Linked DNA regions of Macaca fascicularis. The protein of the gene in region 2 purifies or fractionates together with the protein of the main gene of each other region. This does not show direct contact. Links are inferred from orthologs where the notes say so. Each region holds a gene or a part of one and is shown on either strand. Other genes may lie near its edges.

What was found.
Region 1: the proteins of COPB2 (region 2) and COPG1 purify together in Homo sapiens (co-immunoprecipitation; 8 studies listed by BioGRID and IntAct, counting the BioPlex papers as one, with this or other methods). This does not show direct contact. The link is inferred for Macaca fascicularis from reciprocal best matches to the Homo sapiens genes COPB2 and COPG1.
Region 3: the proteins of COPB2 (region 2) and COPZ1 fractionate together in Homo sapiens (co-fractionation; 6 studies listed by BioGRID and IntAct, with this or other methods). This does not show direct contact. The link is inferred for Macaca fascicularis from reciprocal best matches to the Homo sapiens genes COPB2 and COPZ1.

Annotation. Positions count from the first base shown.
Region 1 is NC_088376.1:154,151,409-154,155,059, forward strand, and holds part of COPG1 (coatomer subunit gamma-1), read right to left. Parts: intron 2,711-3,651; coding exon 2,568-2,710; intron 2,234-2,567; coding exon 2,062-2,233; intron 1,675-2,061; coding exon 1,577-1,674; intron 1-1,576. UniProt on the Homo sapiens protein: The coatomer is a cytosolic protein complex that binds to dilysine motifs and reversibly associates with Golgi non-clathrin-coated vesicles, which further mediate biosynthetic protein transport from the ER, via the Golgi up to the trans Golgi network.
Region 2 is NC_088376.1:42,216,623-42,220,273, forward strand, and holds part of COPB2 (coatomer subunit beta'), read right to left. Parts: intron 3,509-3,651; coding exon 3,371-3,508; intron 1-3,370. UniProt on the Homo sapiens protein: The coatomer is a cytosolic protein complex that binds to dilysine motifs and reversibly associates with Golgi non-clathrin-coated vesicles, which further mediate biosynthetic protein transport from the ER, via the Golgi up to the trans Golgi network.
Region 3 is NC_088385.1:61,173,244-61,176,994, forward strand, and holds the start of COPZ1 (coatomer subunit zeta-1), read left to right. Parts: upstream 1-1,291; 5' UTR 1,292-1,309; coding exon 1,310-1,483; intron 1,484-3,751. UniProt on the Homo sapiens protein: The coatomer is a cytosolic protein complex that binds to dilysine motifs and reversibly associates with Golgi non-clathrin-coated vesicles, which further mediate biosynthetic protein transport from the ER, via the Golgi up to the trans Golgi network.

The DNA.
Region 1 (3,651 bases), about 110 Mb from region 2:
GACCCAGCTCTCTCAAGGAGCTCACTTGGTCTTAAAGCAGCTCCTGCCTCAGGGTCATTTCCAGCTTAAGGAAGGTCCATCCATCCTCAACTGTGACTCTAGGATGACACAATGGTGAATGTCAGCTGTATTCCACCATGACTGTCCCTCTAGTCAGGAGGAGTTCTAACAATCCCCATCCACAGGCTGAGCGTAGTGGTCTGCACTCAGAAGGCCCTGAGCCACTGCCCCAAGGTCAGACCCCAGAAGGATCCTGTACTTAGTTCCATCGAGCTAAGATAGGAGAATTTAGAAGGGCTATTCCAGTGCATGAAAGGACTGCCCAGCACGGCAAACAGGTCAAATGTATCCAGAAAGCATTTGACAAAAGGAATCAAAATGTCTTAAAATCATGCTTACCCTTTGACCCAATTATTCTCCTTCTAGGAATCTATCCTAAAGAAATAATCTAAAATGCAGATAAAAATTTGTATCTAAAGGGATATTTAGTGCAGCATTATAAATAGTGAAAATATGGAAACCCAAATGCCCAACATTCAAGGAGTGAAAGGTCAATCAAGTTTTGACATAGTATATAACAGTATTTTAAATCCACTAAAAAAATTGTGTTTATGAAGTATTTGTAATGACACTGGAAAATACACTATGGTTTTAAAATAGCAAGGTCTACATTATAAGAATGATTCCAATTATACCACTGCCCCCCAAAAGTAACTCTGAAGATTATGAGTAATGTTTTCCTGTTGTTCATACTTTTGTTTTGTATTTTGTTTTTGTATTTCCCAAGTTTTCTTTTTACACATGAACATGTATTTCCATAAGTTTAAAAAGTTATTTTAGGCCAGGCGCAGTGGCTCACGCCTGTAATCCCAACACTTTGGGAGGCCAAGGTAGGTGTATCACCTGAGGCGAGGAGTTCGAAACCAGCCTAGCCAACATGGTGAAACCCTGTCTCTACTAAAAATACAAAAAATTAGGCAGGCATGGTGGCGGGCGCCTGTAATACCAGCTACTCGGGAGGCTGAGGCAAAAGAATCACTTGGGGCCGGGCGCGGTGGCTCAAGCCTGTAATCCCAGCACTTTGGGAGGCCGAGACGGGTGGATCACAAGGTCAGGAGATCGAGACCATCCTGGCTAACACAGTGAAACCCCGTCACTACTAAAAAATACAAAAAACTAGCCGGGCGAGCTGGCGGGCGCCTGTGGTCCCAGCTACTCGGGAGGCTGAGGCAGGAGAATGGCGTGAACCCGGGAGGCGGAGCTTGCAGTGAGCTGAGATCAGGCCACTGCACTCCAGCCTGGGCGACAGAGCGAGACTCCGTCTCAAAAAAAAAAAAAAAAAAAAAAAAAAGAATCACTTGGACTTGGGAGGCAGAGGTTGCAGTGAGCCGAGATCGTGCCATTGCACTCCAGCCTGGGTAACAAGAGAGAAACTTCATCTCAAAAAATAAAATAATAAAATAAAATTTTAAAGAGCTAAAAAGTCAAAAACAGCTCCAGTCTGTCTGTCAGTTTCTGAAGGGAGTTGCTTTGCAGCCTCAGCACAAAACTGAGCTTCCTGACACCAGGCTCTTACCACATACTCATCCTCATAGCCTTCGTCATCGGTCTCCCCAGTGGTGGGATCACAGTCCTTGACAGTGAACTTCATCATGCAGCTGAATGTGCAGGCCACTGTGGGGAAGAGAGACTGGGTAGTTAGGAAGTCCCCAGACTGCAGGGGACGGGCTCCTCCTGCAGGGAACAAGCAGGCAGGGGTCACAGCCTGCTTTCTAGGCCCCTGCTATGTTATTAGTAGCAGCAACAAGCCATACAATCCTACAAAGCTGGACAGAGGGCGCCACCTTGTAGGACAGGAAAGTCAAGTCATGAGTTCTAGTGAGATCCTGTCTCTTTAAAAAAATTTTTTAAAGAAGAGCATTTGGGACTCAGCTATTCTTCTTGGGACTGAAATCAAGGAGCTGAAGCTCTAATAAAAGGCAAACAACTAGTGCCCAGTCGCCCACCTCCTGATCCCATGAGCTCCCATAAGGATAGGGTGGTATCTGGAGAGGGTCTCACCAGCTGTGGGGTCTTCTTTGGGCAGTGCCACCAGTGTGTAGCAGGTCCCAGGCTGGTTGTAGGGCAGGCTCCGGGCAGGCACATAACAGAGCACCTCATAGGCCTCAGTGGGCTCCATCTGCACTGTGACATTCTCCAAGGTCTGGTCATTGAGTGTGTTTGTGCAGTCAAACTGAACAGGGAAGAGAGGGGAGCTTAAACATTGCTCTAGGTCTGAGCCATGCTGCAGAGGAAGAGCCAGGAGGTCCCACCTCTTTCCTGTTGACCAAGGTGATTCCCATCCCAGTCCCCCTGCCCCAGGCTCCCTGTCTCCATGCTGATAATCAGGAGCCATGGAGGCCCTGGGTCAACAGATATGTGAGACAGGCATGTTGGGGACAGATTCTGTCATCAAGTTGGGCTCCCAACCAACACAGTGTGGGGACCCATGTCCCTACAGGACCTGCCAGACCTGGGACAACTCCCTGGGCGCATGCCCCAGCAGGGCCTCAGCCCACCTTGCTCACCTGAAAAACCATGTGGTTGGTGAAGGTGTGTTTGGTGCAGCGGATGACATACTCCGTCTCTGACTCAGTGAGGGCCACGGGCTCAGGCGAGGACTTGAAGAGGGGCCCAAGTCCCCGGAACTCTGGCACCGCCGCCAACTGCTCTGAAATCCACAGGCCACATTCACTCAGCTTCTAAATCCCCAGACCAACTTGTGATGGTTTCTAATAAATTCCCATGACCATTCGCAAGGTGTTCCACCTACCTTAGATGGATAAATATGTTTACCCACCTGGCTACTCATTATTTCCTGAATATATCCATGCATTTTCTCATCTCCCTGACTTTGCTCATGTGATACAACCCCCAACAAATACTCTCCCCATCTCTGTACCATGAAAGACCTCAGAAGCAAAACACTGATATGAGACCACAAAATCCTAGACCTAATTGGAGATTCCCCCGGTTTTAGAAGCTTAGCAAGGATTTCCACCCCCTAGCTCAGCAAGGATTCTTAAAAGAAGGTGACAATTAGGAAAATAAGATCAATTAGGAAAATAAGATCGATACTACTATAGCTACAAAATCAGACAAAGTAACAAACTGGTCCTATATATTTGTCAGTTAAGACAAATGGCCAATAAAGAGATGTTTCGGAATGAGAGCGTTGCAGAAAACCCAACTTAGAATGGTCTGTGTCTGGTTAAGACCTATGCCTACACCCTATGGCCAGGTTCAAGCACTGGATTTAAGCACAGGCCCATGGGACCCCACCCTGGCTGGTCCTGGCATTCCTTGCAGACTAAAGGGAATAACCCAAGTGAATGAGGCATCTGGTAGATGTGTGCACATGGTGTCCACCTATAATGGCTACAGCTACCACTCTTGCACCTATTCTATGGCAGGATTCCTCGCACTATGACCATGGATCACCTGTATCAGAATTACTAGGGGTTGGCGGTAGAGCTTGCTAAAAACTCAGATTCCATCCCAAATCTACTACATCAGAATCTCTGGTTTCAGGATCAAGGAATTTGCATTTATAATATGTTTCCTCAGATTATTCCAATATATACTGATATTTGAAGACCACTGCTCTAAGAT
Region 2 (3,651 bases):
CACACTAAATTAGTGTGTAATAAGTATTTGTTGAATGAATTAGCTCTTAGTTTTTCTTTTTTTCTTTTTTTTTGAGACAGTCTCACTCTGTCACCCAGGCTGAAGTGCAATACAGTGGCACAATCTTGGCTCACTGCAACCATCGCCTCCCAGGTTCAAGTGATTCTTATGCTTCAGTTACCCAAGTAGCTGGGATTACAGGTATGCGCCACCATGCCAAGCAAATTTTTGTATTTTTCGTACAGACAGGGTTTCACCATGTTGGCCAGGGTGGTTTCGACCTCCTGGCCTCAAGTGATCCACCTGTCTCAGCCTCCCAAGTGCTGGGGTTACAGGCGTGAGCCACCACACCTAGTCAGTTTTTTTGAAATTGAAACCCATAAAAGTGACTCATGAATAAGGTACAATTCTTTTGCATGCTTTAGCAATATGATTCCATACAAATGTTATTATTTATTTTTTTTTTTAAATGAAAACACAGTGACCTGTATTTTCCTCTGAGCTACTCAGAATGGAATTATACACACAGGATAAAGGTAGAAAACTAGAAGACCCTCCTAGAAAAAGCAGAGATAATGGTATACCTCTATGTTCTCCTTCTTTGATGCCTGTTCTTAAAAGTCTGAAAGCCAAACTATCATTTTCCAATCCTTTTTTGTATCAGAGAGCAAAAAAGAAATAACTAAGAAACCAATATAATCTTACTGCTTGATTAACCATGTGCACTAAAAAAGTAATAGGGACCGGTTCATAAGAACTGTCCCACTCTGATTTTTCAAGCCAGAGTTCAAAGATTCTTTAGACAAAGGCTGAATGAGTAGGCACTTCAACTCCAACCTGCAGAATCACTACCAGCTGACTAAAATACAGACACTGAGAGTAGACAGAACATGCAATCTGTAATGCAGCAGAAAAATCCACAAAAGCTCATGAGGAGCCAACAAACTCAGGGATCTAAGCAGTAAAAATAAAGCAGCTGCAGAGCAAATAGCCAAGGCTCAGCGCCATGTTAGGGGCTATGACTGATGCAAATGAAGAGTAAGAAAAGCTACACATGCGATACATACAAATGTTCAATGTAGATTAGGAAAGTATAACTAATGACTAATACTTATATGGTACTTAGGTTTCATATACAATTTTATCTAATTTTATCTTTTTGACAATCCTGTGACATAGGGAAGGCAATAATATCATCTTTACTTTAGATAAATAAAGAGGGTCAGCATAGTTAAAAGGCTAACCTATATAATTTAATCAGCAAGTTGGCTTCAAATCCTAAAATACTATGTTTTTTAAACCACTGCATGTACCACCTCAAAGAATATATAGTATCTCCTTATTTGAAATTCAAGTGCATTTAAAACCCTTTTTACTTCCAAAAACCTTTTTGGCTCTCTCAAGAATTTGCTCTCAACACAGGAGTGGTAAATACTGTTGGTGATATAAACACAGGGAAAAAACAGGGAGAACCAAAGACAGATCAATCATTCAACAAAGACTTACTATCTACTAGGAGCCTGACAGTGTATCAGGTAGTGCCTCATGCACTGGACCAACAGTGGGAAATAAGATGAGGGTAATCCTTGTCCTCATAGAACCTCCATTCTTGGAGGAAAGAAGGAAATTAAGCACGAAATTACCAATGAGATGAATTATGAAAGGGGAAGCAGATGGTCCTGTCATAGGGCAGAAAAAGGTACAGAAGAAAAAAAGGAGGCAAAGCGGAAATGCAGATAAAGCAAAGATATATTACAATAAAGCCTAGAGAAAGATAAGAAAAGTACGCCTGGGCTTTAGAATATAAGATGATCAAGTGACAGAGCTGAGAGATAGGTAAATGTAGTTGATAAGAGGGAATCCCTAGGAATAATCAGAGAGAGAGGACACCAACATATCTGTTAAACATAAAATCAGAAATACTTTAAACATCTCAAGAACTAAACAAAAAGGAAAAAAAAAGCAGTTATTTGCATCAAAGCAAAAAGAATTCACAAGATAAAGATCTGAAGTTGTAGAGAACAGAAATACTGAACTAGTGATAAGTGAAATGCATATTATTAATTTATTGAACAAATAATTATTGAGCACTTACTATGTGCCAGGTAATGTTACAGGCACTGAGATACAGCAGAAAACAAAATGTTAATTTGCATAAAATGTCACTGATGGACTATGGTATGGTTTGGATTTGTATCCCCACCCAAATCTCATGTTGAATTGGAGGAAGGCCCTGGTGGGAGGTGATTGGATTATGGGGGTGGATTGGAGGTGATTGAAGGTGGGGATGGATTTCCCCCTTGATGTTCTCGTGATAGTGACTTCTCATGAGATCTGATGGTTTAAAAGTGTGTGGCACTTCCCACTTCGCTCTCTCTCTCCTGCCATCATGTGAAGAAGGTGCTTGCTTCCCCTTCACCTGCTGCCAAGATTTTAAGTTTCCTGAGGCCTCCCAGTCATGCTTCCTGTTAAGCCTGTGGAACTGTGAGTCAATTAAGCCTCTTTCCTTCATAAATTACCCAGTCTCAGGTAGTTCTTTACAGCAGTGTGAGAACAGACTAATACAGGGTAAAAGTTTAGTGTACAGTCATTTCTGTTTCATTACAGTGAGTATAAAAGTGTAAAGTTGTTTTTAGGTTTACTTCTGGCTTTGGTTCCTTGATCCTATTCTGCCATTTTAAATTCCTCAAATGTGAATCTCACCTGGATTTCAAGAACTTAACTTTGGACATTAAGGATAATTACTATATAAGTAGACACAACTGTATGGCATAGTGCTAACTATAAGCTTTGTACTCTTAAATACAGTCTAGGAAGACTAGAAAATATGAGATAAACTAATTTGAAGGATATGTTATTTACTCAGGTGAAAGAGGAGTCAAGCATTTAGGCAGAGAATCTGTAAGATGCATGTATAACCAAAAGCTGACTATAAATATTTCCCTGATATAATCTATATAGCTGAGTGAAAGATTTATCTGCATATCATTACATTGGGCATTTGGGAGAAAAATAAATTTAAAAATATCATTCTTAAGATAGAATATTCACTGAATGGAAAATTAACAATTAAATACTTTAGCGAGTGATCCTATAATACCATCAGTTTTCTCAATTTCAAAAATGAGCTAATACTACCTAAGTCAGAGTTGTCATATTTAAATATTATATATAACATACCCAGGACAGTTTCTCCTACAAACTATCCCCTCATAAATGTTAGTTCCTTCATATTTAAAATACTTCGTACCAACTTGAGAAAGCGGTTTACATATAGCTTCTGGATTCTGTTACAGTATTTCTTCTCTTTCATTATAAACACAGTCTAACATAGTATTTTATTTCTAATAAAGTCCTGAAAAATTCCTACCTGTGTTTCATGATTCCAAACACATACACTGCCATTGTAAAGACTTGCCAACATCCATGGCTCTGTAGGATGCAAATCCACACTCTTAACTCGATCAGATCTAGCAGTTAGCTTTCTTTTGATATCAAGTCGCAAAGGCTAAAAAGAAACATTAAAAAAATTAAATTGCTAAGCCAAATAAAATATGTTTGAGATCTTAACTAAATACAGTGCATGAATAGGGCTACAAAACAATTCAGTTACAACTTTGCTAAGCTTTTAACACAGTTTCAAGTCTAAGC
Region 3 (3,751 bases), on a different chromosome or scaffold from region 2:
AAGAAAAATTCCTGGATAAGTCTGGAATCTCTTCTTGGAGAGCTCCTAAGGACATAATTTTCAGAGATGAGGGAAAAAAATCCCTGAGGGATAATTAAGGCAATAGGTATCCCTGCCCTAAGAGGAGTCAGGGATCAGGAAACCAAGAGATAGGGGAAAGCCAAGCTTCATCAAAACCATTCCCTATTGTGAAATCGTTGCATTCAGTAAACTTCTCTTTTCTCATTTTGCAACGGCTCGTTTCTTTCCTTTTCTTTTTCTTTCTTTTTTTTTTTTTTTTTTTTGAGATGGAGTTTTGCTCTTGTTGCCCAGGCTGGAGTGCAATGACGTGATCTTGGCTCACCGCAACCTCGGCCTCCTGGGTTCAAGAGAGTTTCCTGGCTCAGCCTCCCGAGTAGCTGGGATTATAGGCATGCTCTACCACGCCCGGCTAATTTTGTATTTTTTTTTTTTTAGTAGATACGGGGTTTCTCCATGTTGGTCAGGTTGGTCTCGAACTCCCGACCTCCGATGATTTGCTCACCTCGGCCTCCCAAAGTGCTGAGATTACAGGCTTGAGCCACCGCGCCCAGCCACAACGGCTTGTTTCTATTGGAAAACCCCAGACCTTACTCCCTATAACCCTCCCTTATTCTAATCCCTTTCCCCGTTTGTCCCCCCAACTCCATCTCCAAAGACGATTGAGCCAAAGTTAGCTTTTACAAACTCTGACTTCTCATGTTCCTCAGGCCCAGCAAAGCCTGGAACTCCACCTTAGGGAGATTGTTACTGCGACTATCATCTTCTGGCAGTCTTGGTTTATGTAGTTAACATGTTGGGCCTTTCTTGGCTCTACTCTATGGTTGTGCAGACTTTCTGTGAGGATGCTAAAGTGACCCGAGCGAGCCTGAGGGAAGGGCTAGCCACAGAGATCATGGACCTAGGGGGCGCTGAAAATAGGGATTATTAGGGGAGGATCCCTGTTAGGAAGCGTCAGCGTTAAAGGCTAAGGAGACACAGCGCCCCCTAAAGAGAGTGCGGTTTAAAATCGCTAAATCAGGCCGACAATATCACGTGTCCCTGGCCCTACCAATTGAAAATTAACAATCGCTTCCTCCGTTCCCCATGGAAACAACCCCGCCCCACCGACCCTCCCGCCCTAATAAGTCGTGAGGTTTTGGCGTTTTATTGAGTATTCAAACTGACAATCAAACACCTGTGCCTTCTGGTTGGATACTCTGCTTCCGGTAAGCAAGTTAGTACAATAATTGGTCAACAGAGCAAGTCTTACCCAATGATCCTTATCCTAGGCAGGGCCTAATGGGGACGTATGGCCAATCAGCGGTGGCGTTACTTTTGCGGCTCCACGTCGGCACCAGCTGCGGGGCAAGATGGAAGCGCTGATTTTGGTAGGAGCTGGAGGGGCAGCAGAGATGCTGTGCTGTCCACAGGGGCCGGGAGTCAGGGTGCAGCCCGAGTGGGAGACGGGGAAGGAGAGTTCCGGGTAATTCTTGGGGACTGACGGTTCTGCCGACCCTTGGAATAAGTGTGTGGCCTAGTGTAGGAGCTAAAGCCTTGGTTTAGAGTAGGAAGCCCTGCCGGGGAGAGGGCATAGAGTCGATGGAAAGTTAAAGGTAGCACATGGACTCCTTAGGATACACAGACCTGTAAGCGTACTGGATTAGGACTCTTCAGGTTTCCCCTTATTTTTAGCATTGTGGATGATATCCTGATTTTAATTTACCAAAACCACCAAACTAGCCCCATATTATGAGAAAAGAATACAGATGTTTTGTCGTTACAGGCTCCTCCTGGTGGTTTCCCAAGTTTGACTCTCCATTGCTGATTCCCTGCCACATTCTTTCAGGAAACTGTTTTCTCTTGGGTTTCCTATTAATCCCTATTAAATAGGTTTATCATGATAAAGAATCAGTGTTTCATCAAAGTTCTGGGATACCTGATAAAGTTAGCATGGATTGTGGAATATTTTTTCCAGACTCCTTATTCTGTTCTCCTTTTCTCTACCCATTGGACCTTAGGAATTCTTTTTTTTTTTTTTTTTGAGACCGAGCCTTGCTCTGTCGCCTACGCTGGAGTGCACACGTGGCACGATCTTGGCTCACTGCAATCTCCGCCTCCCGGGTTCGAGCTATTCTCCTGCCTCAGTCTCTTGAATAGTTGGGACTATAGGCGCGTGCCACCATGCCCGGCTAATTTTTTTTTGTATTTTTAGTAGAGACGTGGTTTTACCATGTTGGCCAGGCTGGTTTCGAACTCCTGACCTCAAGTGATCCGCCGGCCTCGGCCTTCCAAAGTGCTGGGATTACAGGCGTGAGCCATCGCGCCTGGCCAGGAATTATTTTATTTTATTTATTTATTTATTTATGAGACGGAGCCTCGCTCTGTCGCCTAGCCTGGAGTGCAGTGGCGCGATCTCGGCTCATTGCAATCGCCGCCTCCCTGGTTCACGCCATTCTCCTGCCTCAGCTTCCCGAGTAGCTGGGACTACAGGCGCCTGCCACCATGCCTGGCTAATTTTTTGTATTTTTCTTTTTTTTTTTTTTTGAGACGGAGTCTCGCTCTGTCGCCCAGGCTGGAGCGCAGTGGCCGGATCTCAGCTCACTGCAAGCTCCGCCTCCCGGGTTTACGCCATTCTCCTGCCTCAGCCTCCCGAGTAGCTGGGACTACAGGCTCCCACCACCTCGCCCGGCTAGTTTTTTGTATTTTTTTTTAGTAGAGATGGGGTTTCACCGTGTTAGCCAGGATGGTCTCGATCTCTTGACCCCGTGATCCGCCCGTCTCGGCCTCCCAAAGTGCTGGGATTACAGGCGTGAGCCACCGCGCCTGGCCAGGGATTCTCATTGTATGATCTAGGATGCTAATTTCTCCCTTTCTGGTTACATGAGAATTGTGGTCGCTACAAGGAGTGTATTAGCCCTCTTGTCCATATGATGCTTTATGCTTGTTCTAACAAATAAAATACCTGTTACCCCTTATTTAGAACTGAACCAGATAATTTCTCTCAAAAGTGCCCTATTTTGCGATTTGGAGGGGTGTGTGTGTGTGTATGTGTGTGTGTGTGTAGGTAGGTAGGTAGGTAGTTAATGTAGGAATTTAACTCCCAGCCTCCTTCGTTAATTGGCTCGAACTCCAGGCCTCTTTCCAAAGAAGCTTGTCTTTTATTTTCCTTTAGATCTCCTATGCATACATATTCAGATCCTCGTCAGATAAAAGAATAACAGTTTTTAATTCCTCTCTTTCAGCATGTTAAAGACAGATAATTCCGACCATCCTGGCTAACACGGTGAAACCCCGTCTCTACTAAAAAATACAAAAAACTAGCCGGGCGAGGTGGCGGGCGCCTGTGGTCCCAGCTACTCCGGAAGCTGAGGCAGGAGAATGGCGTAAACCCGGGAGGCGGAGCTTGCAGTGAGCTGAGATCCGGCCACTGCACTCCAGCCTGGGCCACAGAGCCAGACTCAGTCTCAAAAAAAAAAAAAAAAAAGAGACAGATAATTCCTTATGTCAGTTGGTCAAATATAGGTAAAAAGCTTAAAATCTGAGTAGTTTTAAATATTTTCTGTACCAGGCAGTTAACAAATATTCTTTTTTTTTTTTTGAGATAGAGTCTGGCTGTGTTACTCAGGCTGGAGTGCAGTGGTACTATCTTGGCTCACTGCAACCTCCGTCTCCCAGAATCAAGCAATTCTCGTGCTTCAGCCTCCCGCGTAGCTGGAATTACAGGCACGTGCCACCATGCCCAGCTAATTTT